2 linked regions of the Schizosaccharomyces pombe genome follow. Changing the gene in region 1 together with any one later gene gives a genetic interaction. Each region holds a gene or a part of one and is shown on either strand. Other genes may lie near its edges. The genes, in order: exg2 and fus1.

What was found.
Region 2: of exg2 (region 1) and fus1, changing one enhances a phenotype caused by changing the other (phenotypic enhancement), as found in Schizosaccharomyces pombe (one study listed by BioGRID).

The regions. Positions count from the first base shown.
Region 1 is NC_003424.3:4,589,984-4,594,168, forward strand, and holds exg2 (glucan glucosidase exg2), read left to right. Parts: upstream 1-1,871; coding exon 1,872-3,584; downstream 3,585-4,185. Other genes in the region: protein Nod1, read left to right, coding at 282-1,541; DNA repair protein Rhp41, read right to left, coding at 3,890-4,185.
Region 2 is NC_003424.3:4,812,472-4,819,955, reverse strand, and holds fus1 (formin Fus1), read left to right. Parts: upstream 1-2,169; 5' UTR 2,170-2,612; coding exon 2,613-6,731; 3' UTR 6,732-6,845; downstream 6,846-7,484. Other genes in the region: eIF2 alpha kinase Hri1, read left to right, coding at 1-1,697; CCR4-Not complex subunit Caf16, read right to left, coding at 6,891-7,484. UniProt on the Schizosaccharomyces pombe protein: Required for cell fusion. It associates with the pre-zygotic projection tips in conjugating cells.

The sequences.
Region 1 (4,185 bases):
TATCCACGAACGCTCAATAAATGTTTTATTGGTGTCTAACAAATTCTTCATGATTTGGAAACTTTATTTAGTTAAAATACTTAGCAATTTATGGTGAGACATCCATCCAATCTCAAATTTTTTCTCTATTCGTAAATACTTCTGTTTAAGCAACTAGACGAATTTTGGTTTCAAACTTCTACAACGCAATTCTAAAGTGAAGATTTCCTTGAAACGCTTATCTACTATTTGTTGATTGGGTGTTCCATACCGATTGAAATTTACTTTTCTGATATATTTAAATGGAAAAACCATTGCCTAATCCGCCTATTCAAGAAAGTTTACGAAAGCAATCCCCCCAAGACGCTGTTTACGATGATTTGGTTTTTGGTTTAAAACGTTATGAAGCGGCTTTCTCAATTAAAGACAGTATTGAAGATGTTCTAGCAAATTTTTCTAAAGACGAGGAAAAGGAAATGGTTTGTCTCAGTACGTCGATTGCAGAAAATCCTTATCAATCGCTTTCATTAGAATCTGTTCCATCCAAAATACTATTTGGATCATTTTTATTTTATGTAAAGGATCGAATCCCGGAGAAAGCTGGTTATATAATTGAAGAGCAGTTCTGTAAACGACTTCAACAAATCGATTACGATGCTTATTCTTTCTCACCAAAAGAGTGTAATGAAAAATTAAAAAATATTTTCTCTGAATTCTCTCAAATGAAGCTAAAAATGTTGTCTGTTTTTTTCTCGATTGTACAAATTTTGCTTCCTAAACTCAGTGGAGATTATCAGGAACATGTCCAATTTTTTGCTTCTATATCGGCTGTCGTAGCACCGAGGGGTTATGTTTTTGAAATCTATCATGCAGTTGAACATTTATCTCTTGAAGCTAGGGAAGTTTTTCAGCTGCACCATCCTCCTTCCCCAAAACAAACAAGGCGGGTCGTTTCTGAAGGACCTCTTAATGGCGTAAACTACAAGCAAAACACTACTAACAACAGAGTCTCTTCTTTTCAAAATTCTCAATACTCTACGCTAAATAATTTCCAAAATAACTCTAATCAATCACCTAACTCCAATGATTTGCAACCACTTCAAGCTGAAGCCTTTCACTCCGCACATAATGGGTATTCTTCCTCTACACTCAACCTTAATTCTGAACTAAATGTAATGAAAGATCACGATCTACAAGCTCCGATTCCGCGTGCTTTAAAGCAGCATAAACTTCCTCCCATACCCGTACCTGAAGTTCAAACAACTAATATTGGTTATCAAACTGATTTACCATTGCAAAATCCCAATGATAACTTGGTATCTTTGGCGATTTATGAGGCACTTTACGAGAAATTTCTTAAAGCCTGTAAAGATCTGGAAGAAGTTTCCAAGTCATATGAGGAAAGCCGTGAGGAGATTGAAGCTTTGCATGAAACATTTACGGAGGAAGTGACTTCTTTTCAAAGTACTAAGAGATTGAAAGAGGAAAAAATTATTCAAGAAAAAAGTCGGGTTGATAAAATGATCGACGAATATCGTCAAAAACTTTCAGAAAGCACTTAACACTTTTACGTTTAATTATTGGAAATTTACTTATATTTTTAGATTGTTATTAACTTTTTATTATGTTTATGACTTGTTAACTGCTAACTTATATGCATGTTCCACCGCTAACGTCACAATGATGGATCGGTATTATTGTAATAGTTTTGCAATTTAAATACTGTTTGATGACTACATGTTCATATTTTTTGTTTGAAGCACGTTCTTCCTTTCTTTCCTCCCTTTGAAGAGTTGTATCATTATCTTTGTTTCTTTTCTTGTCAAGGGCCCGGTAGTTCCTTCTTTTAATAATTGGATCAAAATATCTTTCTTTCTTTTTATTGATAAAATATGAGCAATCTTTTAGAAGCTGAGTCATCTTGTGACTCTAAATCACTCGGTGTTGATGACTTTACATCTAAAAGGTGTAGAGAAATTGACAAGAAGGCTCTTCTTATTACTATCCTCCTTACATTTTTTGTTTCCCTATGTGTTTTCCTGTCAATTATTCTTCCTCTTATATTTTTAGTTATTATTCCTCACGCTCAGTCAGATCGAAAAATTAAAGACACAAATATGGAAACCACTAATTTAGGCGTAAATATAATTGATGAGATATTTAATTCCACTCAAGTACCTGAATGGGCTAAAAACTCGCTTTTGGACACCAATACTTGGCTTGATACATCTGATTTCAATACAAGTTTTACGAACGAAACGTTCGCTGGATTATATACAATGGGAATATTTGATAAATATGATGATTCCGTTCAGGCAAATCCTAATGTCCCTCCTTTGAACGAGCCTTTTCCGTACGGTCGACTTCCCATTAGAGGTGTAAATCTAGGTGGATGGCTTTCAATGGAACCATTTATTACTCCATCTTTTTTCCAAGTGAAAAATGAAACTGCATACTTAGTAAAAGATGAATTGAGTCTACACGCATATTTGGGGGAAAATGCCACCAGCGTTATTGAGAACCATTACAATACATTTGTCACGAAACAAACATTTTACGAAATTAGGGAAGCAGGTTTGGATCATGTTCGGATTACCTTTCCATATTGGATTCTTTACAGTAATGAAATAACTAATGTCTCGGGTATTGGGTGGAGATATCTACTTAGATCTATCGAATGGGCTCGTGAGCAAGGATTAAGAGTTAATCTTGATTTACACGCCGCACCTGGTAACCAAAACTCTTGGAATCACGGTGGATATTTGAATCAAATGGAGTGGTTGGATGGCACAGTGAAAGGCGAGGAAAATTCTCAATTCACACTAAAAATTCATGAAAGACTTGCTTCTTTTTTCTCTCAGAAACGGTATAGAAATGTCGTTACAATATACGGTGCACTTAACGAACCAAATTTCTTCGTTCTTGATGAGCACAAAATTACTGATTGGCATAAGCAAGCCTATGCGGTAATTCGCCAATCTAATTTTACAGGTCTAATATCACTTAGTGATGGATTTCGTGGTCCAGGTAATTGGGAAGATCATTTTGATCCATTTCACTTCCCAAACATACTTATCGATGTACATAGGTATATCATTTTTAATGATTTCTTAATTGGTTTGAGGCCAAAAGATAAACTTAATGTGATATGTAAGTCATGGAACGAAGAAATGAAGTTAAAGGCCAAATTACCGACGATTATAGGAGAGTGGAGCCTTGCGGATACAGATTGTGCTAAGTTTTTAAATAATGTTGGAGAGGGTGCTCGATGGGACGGCACTTTTACTCCTAATGGAGGTGTTGCCAGTTGTTCTGAAAAAGTTGGTTGTCGTTGCGACTTCGCAAATCAGGACCCCGAAAATTACGAGGATTCTTATCGAAAGTTTCTATATGCTTTAGCTACTTCACAAATTGAAACATTTGACAAAACATGGGGCTGGTTTTATTGGAACTGGGACACCGAAAATGCCACTCAATGGAGTTACAAAAAATCATGGCTGGCAGGTTTGTTGCCTCGCTTGGCTTACTCTACAACGAAGGATTTCAATTGCAGCATGCTTGATTCTAAATCTTTCATGGAGTTTGACGAGCAATCTGAATTTTGATGGTAATTAGAAAATGCAAGCATTGTTCTTTGGATAATATCAATCTTTTATTTTAATTTATGTCAATATAAAGGTACTTATTAAAGACCCCTGAATTCTATAGAATTTTAAAGTCATGATCGCTCATCTTTATTTGTGTACTAATATATATATACAAAGAAATATATGATAACAATTCAAACTTCGTATTACAATAAAAAATAAATAACAACCTTGATGTAGATAACACTAAGAATGTGTAGCCAGGTACTTTGTAAAATGATTCCATCATTGAGCTCGTAGATTAGGAAAATCGAATTTATCAATTAACCGTATTCTTCGAATACACGCTGACGAATCCGAAGGCCTGTAATCAGTCGCTTCCATAATAAAAGACAAGTCTTTCTTACATTCCTTGCCTCTGCTTCTTTTTCTTCCTGGTCTATCTCCTCTGCAATGAGATCGATAGCCTCTTCATAACGCTTAGAAACAACAACTCCCTCTAATTTAGGCTTTGAGTACTTCCGTTGAAAATCAAATCCAACAACTGCTTTTGCATAGTCAATCTCTAAAAATTTAGCTGCTGCCAAAGCACAACGTTTTCTACAATGATATGCTCCAT
Region 2 (7,484 bases), 220 kb from region 1:
CTTCCTTCTTGAGCGTATTGAGTGATGGTGGATACGAAGACGATGTGATGAATGTCAAGCCTTCAGTAAACGTATTGTCTAATAGGTTAAATCATTTACCAGTTGAAGCATTGGAATCTTGCTTTCCACAAACCACTTTGGAGTCCTCCACGTTTGCTGATTTTTGTGAGCACAAAGATGGAACCGGTAACTTGTCTTTTAGCAACTTTGATAGCTTTCCCACAGTCCAAAGGTCAAGATATGCAAGTGATTTTGAAGAACTTGAGTTACTTGGTAAAGGCGGTTATGGTTCAGTGTATAAAGCTCGAAATAAATTCGATGGAGTTGAATATGCTTTAAAAAAAATTCCACTTCGGTTACGTTCTTTCTCCACTTCTTCTAACATATTCCGTGAATCTAGGACCTTGGCAAGATTAAACCATCCCAATGTGATAAGATTCTTTTCTAGTTGGGTCGAGCTCTTACCGTCATCTGAAAAGCAAATCGAAGAAGAACCTTTAGCTTCGGCAGATGAGACATTATCTCAATCAGCAGATATAGATAATTTTATGTTTGATATGGATACTGGGTTACTTCAGCATACTTATCCTTCATCAGTTCAGATACTATTCCAAGAGGACTCGGTTGCAGATGATTTAACTCCTTGTTACTCTACCAAAAATTCGACTTGCAACTTGACTGATCTTTTCAAGAAAGAGGCCGATCAGGATTATGCCGAGTCACATGATTGTTCTTCAACAACATCACAAGTCGACACATTAGGAAAGTTGGCGCCAACGAAGTCAGCTTCTGAAATGTTACTTATGGATTCATTTCTATCCGAAAGAGAGGAAGATGAATGTTCCAATATTCCCAGCTTTGATCAACAGCCCTTATGTTTGTACATACAAATGGCTCTTTGCGAAGAAACACTCGAGAAACACATAAACAGACGAAATAAGCATATTCACGGTGTAATGTCTAAAGGCCTACGTAACTGTTATATTTTACTGTTTGCAAGGATTTTAGAGGGCGTTTTGTATCTTCACGATGCTATGCATTTAGTCCATCGTGATTTGAAACCTCGAAATATTTTTCTATCTAGTGGTGTACATTCTGAGCCTTGCTCTGTGTGTCTACCTAATTTTTCTGATGAAGATAATGTTGAGGTTAGCAATGCGTACGAACCAGTGAACCAAAGAACTTTATGTGTTGTGCCCAAGATAGGCGATTTCGGTCTTGTTCTTTCTCAGTCAGATAATTTGGAAGAGGGGACCAACTCCTCAGCTGAATCTTCTTTTGTCGGTACAAGTACGTATGCAGCTCCTGAACTTTTCTCAAAACACATGCGATCGGTAATGAATAACAACTCGTCTACTGACATATATGCATTGGGCATACTCTTTTTTGAATTACTGTATCCTTTTAACACGCGCATGGAAAGGGCATCAGCTATCGCCAATTTAAAAAAGGGCATTTTCCCCCATGATTTCTTGGATTCCATGCCAGAGGAAGCTAGCTTAATCCGGTCAATGCTCAGCTCTTCGAATAAGCGCCCAACTGCTGCTCAACTTTTGACTAGCAATCTATTTCATGATTTGGTAGTCAATGAGCTTCATGTATATCAAGCTTTATTGGAAGATGCTGAGAAACGAAATAACAATTTGAAAGCAGAACTAAACATACTTCGAGTTTTAAACCCCAATTACGACTGTTAGTATTAGTTACGAACTACTTTGGACTGCTTCAATTGTTTTTACAATTCGCTTTTGACAAGATTTAGTTGTTTATGTTATTTTATGTTTATATTTCCTACGTTTTATGTTTATCCACTGTTATGATTTGTTTATAGTGAGTTATCTTCCATGCTCTTGGAATGGTTTTTGGAGCTTTTAGGTGCGAAAGAGTAGTCTGCATTAAAGATTTTTCTTATTTTAATATATTAAATTGAAAGTTCATCTTGTACATTTTTTCGTTGCTAGTTTTCAGTTCAACAGTCTGATTGATTTTTTTAAGTTTTCTTGATCTTGATCTTGTACTCAAAATGTTTATCCTTTTTAATCAAACTGTCTTTCATTTATGGAAAACAAATATCAATCAAGCTATAAATTAAACAGCAGAAGCGATTGTTTAATTTTAGCGTGATAGTAAACTAGCACTTCATTAGGCGCCTTATTCTAAAGACACAGTATGTACGCCACCCTCTCAATGTCTTTTAAAAAACATTTATTAATAAATATAAACTAGAATGGACACTAAACTTATTTCCAGCATTATTCAGTTAATTCTGATATGGACTACTTTCAAGTTGTCGCTTTCCAATTACGTTTGTGTTTGAGCTTGAACTTATCGGAAAACTAAATAGTTTTCGAACACAGTTAGTATTTCTTTGTTCTTTAACGGGTACAATAAAATGGATCGTTGCATATGTAATTGTTGCTTTGAATCATATTACGTCGGTTAAACCGAACAAAGAAAGTTATGTTCTAAATACTCAGTAATTTTCTAGTAAGTCTTTTACCTTACTTCTTATATCTGAACTCAAAAAGGATTGTTTACGAGCAAAAAACCTTGTTTCTGTAATTATAGGACATATTATTGATGGTTTCACCTTTTTTAGCTATTGCTTGTTAATGATGACGGCTAGTTTTAAAGGTATCAGAATCTCTAAACCAATTGTTAAAGAAATTTCATCGTTTGGGTCTCTAACAAACATTGATTTACACACTGACCCATATGAAAAAGTCGAAGCAAAAGCATTATCGCGAAGCAGATTAAAAAACCAAAGCGTAAAGAAAACAGACCTTCGTATTACAAATGATTACTCTTCACTATTTGTGAGTATTGAAAACAAAAAAAACACTATTCCGGATATTCATTGCAACAATTTATCAAAAAGACCTGTTGGATTTACCGATTCATATGTACCAGGCGAAGCGCTTCTATGTCCGGATGACCCGAATTTAGTGAATGAATTATTCGATGATGTTTTAAAAAGATTACGCGAAGAAAAATCTGATTCTGGTGAGCAGTTTCATTGGGACGCGAACGTTACACTCTCTCAAGAAAACAAATGGTCTTTCATCACTGGCTATTTATCGAGAAACGATAAATTTTTAAAAATATCATCAAACGATTCTGAACTAAATGTCAAGGCATCCGTCATTTCCTATATTGAAAAGTTAAGCTGTACACCGTTGAAGCTCAAGTACGTGGAATCTTTGGCGGTTGCATTGAGAACCGAATCAGTTACCTGGGTTCGATATTTTCTTTTGATGGGTGGACACATAGTACTTGCTAAAATATTGCAGGCAATTCATGAGAAGAAACATCTAAAAAGTCCTGACATAACTTTAGAAATTGCAATCCTCAAAAGCATGAGGTGTATTATAGGACAGAAGATTGGGACTGATTTCTATCTGAGTAATAAGTATCCTATCGATTCAGTTGTTCACTGCCTCCTGTCAACTAAATTACTAGTAAGGAAACTAGCTGCCGAATTACTTACTTTTCTTTGTTACTCAGAAAAGCCGAACGGAATCAACGCAATTATGAAATGTATGAAAAACTTTGCAAATTTGAAAGTCGAGTCTATGAACGTCTTTGATTTATGGCTTTCTCAATGGAAAAGAACACTCTTAGAGAAAGTTGTTACTGAAGAAAAGAAAGTACTAGAAGAAGCGGCCTTACATGATAAAATAACTATTGAGTATATCATTTCACAAATGCTTCTTATAAATGCATTTCTTGAAAATATCCCATCTAAAACTGCTTTACTCCAGTTCAAGGAATCCTTGAGAATAGGGAATTTCAAAAGCATTTTACTCATTCTAAAAAAAATAAATGATGAAGGAGTATTAAAACAACTCGAGAAATGCGTGAAACTCGTATCATTAGACACTGCTAATGAGAAACATTTTTTAAAGCACACTCCAAATTCTGCTGCTCATCAATCCCTTTTAAACACAAACATGTTTAATGATGCAAATTTCGAATTTATGGTTAAAGAGCATATTAAAAATTTTTTAAAACTTTTGAAAGAGCACAACAACCCCGTCCGTATTATAAAGTTACTTGATTGTTTAGTGCTTACTTTACAAGCTGATAAAGGGAATGGTAATTCAAATAATGATATTGATTGCTTTTATAAGGAATTAAAGATTGGAAACGAGCAAGGGAACAACGCTCCGGGGTACTCAAGTGTTACGTCTGGCTACGGTACTACCAATAGCAAAAAAGTTGTCGCATCATATGATAATACTGATGATAATGAATACAGCGTCTCCAAATCAGAACTTTATGCTACTGGTGATACTAATAACACTACAAATCAAGGATATGAGAATTCCGAAAGAAAGTATGTGGAAAGTTCGAAGTATGAAACCGATCTGAAAAATATCTTTGATTGTTTGTGTTTGTTGTTTCCATCAGAGTTTGATCCTCAATCTTCCTTTTCAGCCGAAAAAATTTTTAGTAAACTAAAGCACTTACTGACGCGTACGCGCGATTCATACATTTCCGAAGATACCAAAATTCTTCGATTATTGAACCGATCAAGTAGTAAACTGCAAGATCGTGACCAAGAGTATTTAATTTCTAAAAACAATGTGAATGGAAATGGAAACAGAGATTGGGTTCAACCCGTGAACACTACCTCTAGCGTTAGTGCTTTTGCTTCACCAAGGATAAAACCTAAACTGCTTTTTCAACCAAATCAGGATGAAAAATTAAAACTTTGCAAATTAGATCTAGCTAAAGCAAACTCAATCACTTTAAAATCCGAGCCATCTTCCGCTGTTTCAACGCATTCTTTTGAGGTTCATCTGAGTATGCCAGGAACACAAATAAAAAGTGCTAACTTAGCAGAAAAAATGGAAACTTCAAAACACAAGGTTTTTAATCCAAAAAGGATTGATGTTGTTAGTGATCTTCCCTTAGACTATCGAAAGTCGTACTATGGCCGATTTTCCATAACTGATACCAAGAGGTTTTCTAAAATAGAAAATATGAGAATCAAAGAAGTTATTGATGGGAATCCATTCAAAGCTCCACCTCCTGCACCATTACCACCTCCTGCACCTCCTTTACCAACTGCAATGTCTTCTCTCCAGAAATTTGAAAAAAATGATTCACAAATTTTTCGGAAGACGATAATTATTCCCGAAAATATTTCAATCGATGACATATTTAAATTCTGTTCAGGTTCAGAGTCTGAAGTGTATGCAAGCAAAATTCCTGGTGAGCTATGCAATCCTTCTAAACGGCTAAAGCAGCTTCATTGGAAACGCCTCGAAGTTCCTTTCGAAAAAACTCTATGGAATATTGTAGTTGCAGATCCTTATTTATTAACTTTAAAACTTACTGCGGAAGGGATTTTTAAGCAACTCGAAGATTGTTATCCATTGAGAGAAGTAACAGTTTCCAATAAAAAAGTTAAGGAATATACCGGATTTATGCCAGTTGATTTACAGCAAATGGTTAGTATTCGTTTGCATAGATTCAATTCCTTGACACCAATTGAAATTGCCAAAAAATTTTTTCATTGCGACCATGATATCATGGAACTAGTCGATTTTTTTAATGACCGAAAGTTTTTTCGACAAGAAGGTCTTAAAAAGCAACTAAAGCCTTATATGTCATCTCGAAACGAAGAGGTAATGGAAGTAAGTGAAAAGCTTTTAGAATTGTCTCGTTTCGATCAAATTTATACGTTAATTGTTGTTGACATTGATACTTATTACGAAAAAAGAATGGCAGCTTTAAAAATCAAATCGTTTCTGGCCAACAACTTTAGGGATTTTAGAAGACAAATAAGGAAACTTCATTGTGCTTCTTTAGAGTTGAAATCTAGTTTGCATTTCAAGTATTTTTTAAATTTGGTCCTTCATATTGGCAATTTTATGAATGATGCACCCCGTCGAGCTAAAGGGTATCGATTGGAAAGTTTACTAAGAGCTTCCATGATTAAAAATGACAAAACAGGATTAACACTTCTTCATACTATTGAAAAAATAGTTCGGACTCACTTTCCACAATTGGAAGCTTTTCTCGTGGATTTGAAAGCCATTCCCGAGATTTCCAGATTTAATTTGGAGCAGTTGGAGCAGGATTGTAATGATATTTGTGAACGGATGAAAAATGTTGAAAAGGACTTTAGCAATGAAGGCATTTTTTCGAATCATAAAGCTCTTCATCCTGATGACCATATCTGTGAAGTCATGGTTCCATGGATTCCATCAGGAAAATCAATGGTGGATGAACTTAATTCTGATATTACTGAACTAAAAACAACCCTTAAAACAACTCTCTTAATGTATGGTGAAAATCCAGATGAACCTACATCGAGTGCTAGGTTTTTCAATAATTTAAACGAAATAATACTGGAGTACAAAAAGGCTAGCACTGTAAATCAGAAGATGGAGAAGGAAGAAGAACTTGCTTTTCTAAGACTACAAGCTTTAAAAGCATCTGTTAAAAGCAATAATGCAGAAAATAGTGGTTCTTCAAAGAATGAGGAAGTTTCAGCAACAATGGAAAATTTAATATCTCAGCTACAGAAAGGTTTGTGTGATGATTCTTTAAGCAACAAAACCGATTGCACTGAATCATCGAAACAAACAATCGAAACTCTAATGAATTATGAAAATGATAAACAAACTCTAGAAGGCTCAAATAAAAAGAGACAAACAGTCGTCCTTAAAGCTGAATGCATGCTTAAGCAGCTGGAGAATAACAATGAACTTAAGAGATAATGATGTTTGAAATGTTAATGACTTTTAATGACAATTAAATGACTTAAACAAATTATAATGAAATTATAATTAATAAAAGGTATAATTATTAATTCTAGTAAGACTGTAATGCTTGTTAAAGATAGAATTAAGCATCTAAAGGATAACTTTTCTAGTAATCTATTTTGCTCGGGAAATCTTAAAGTAATCAGTAAATACATCAGTTCCAACTTTTAATGATTCTTGAACGTCGTCCCAGGTACTACGCTTTTCCTCTTCTCGAGTTCCCCTATTTTTTTTGTCTTCTTTGAGCCATTCCAAACATGTCTCTAGAAGGGCGCTATTTCCCGTAGAGGACCTTGTCATCAGAGCACCAAACTTGGATATTGGTCCATAATCCACGATACGCCCAAGACTGAGATGGACCAAGTGAGTTGGCCACTCAGCTAAACCATCAAATATATGTGTTGCATAAACAATAGTAGCATTCCTTACTTCCGTTTCCTCTTGCAAAAAATTTAACAAATCTGCCCGGGCAAGAACATCCAAATCTACAGTTACTTCATCAAGTAAAAGTACTTCAAATGGACGCAGAAGTCCCATACATAGTTGAACACGTCGTCTTTCACCATCGGACACTGCATGCATTCGCCAACGAAGATCTATATCAAGAATTGAAATCAAGAAATCCCTACGTTCGGCAAATTTATCTCCTCCAACAGAAGCAATTAATCGTGCAACACTCATATCCCTATGTATAACAGGGTTGTTAAC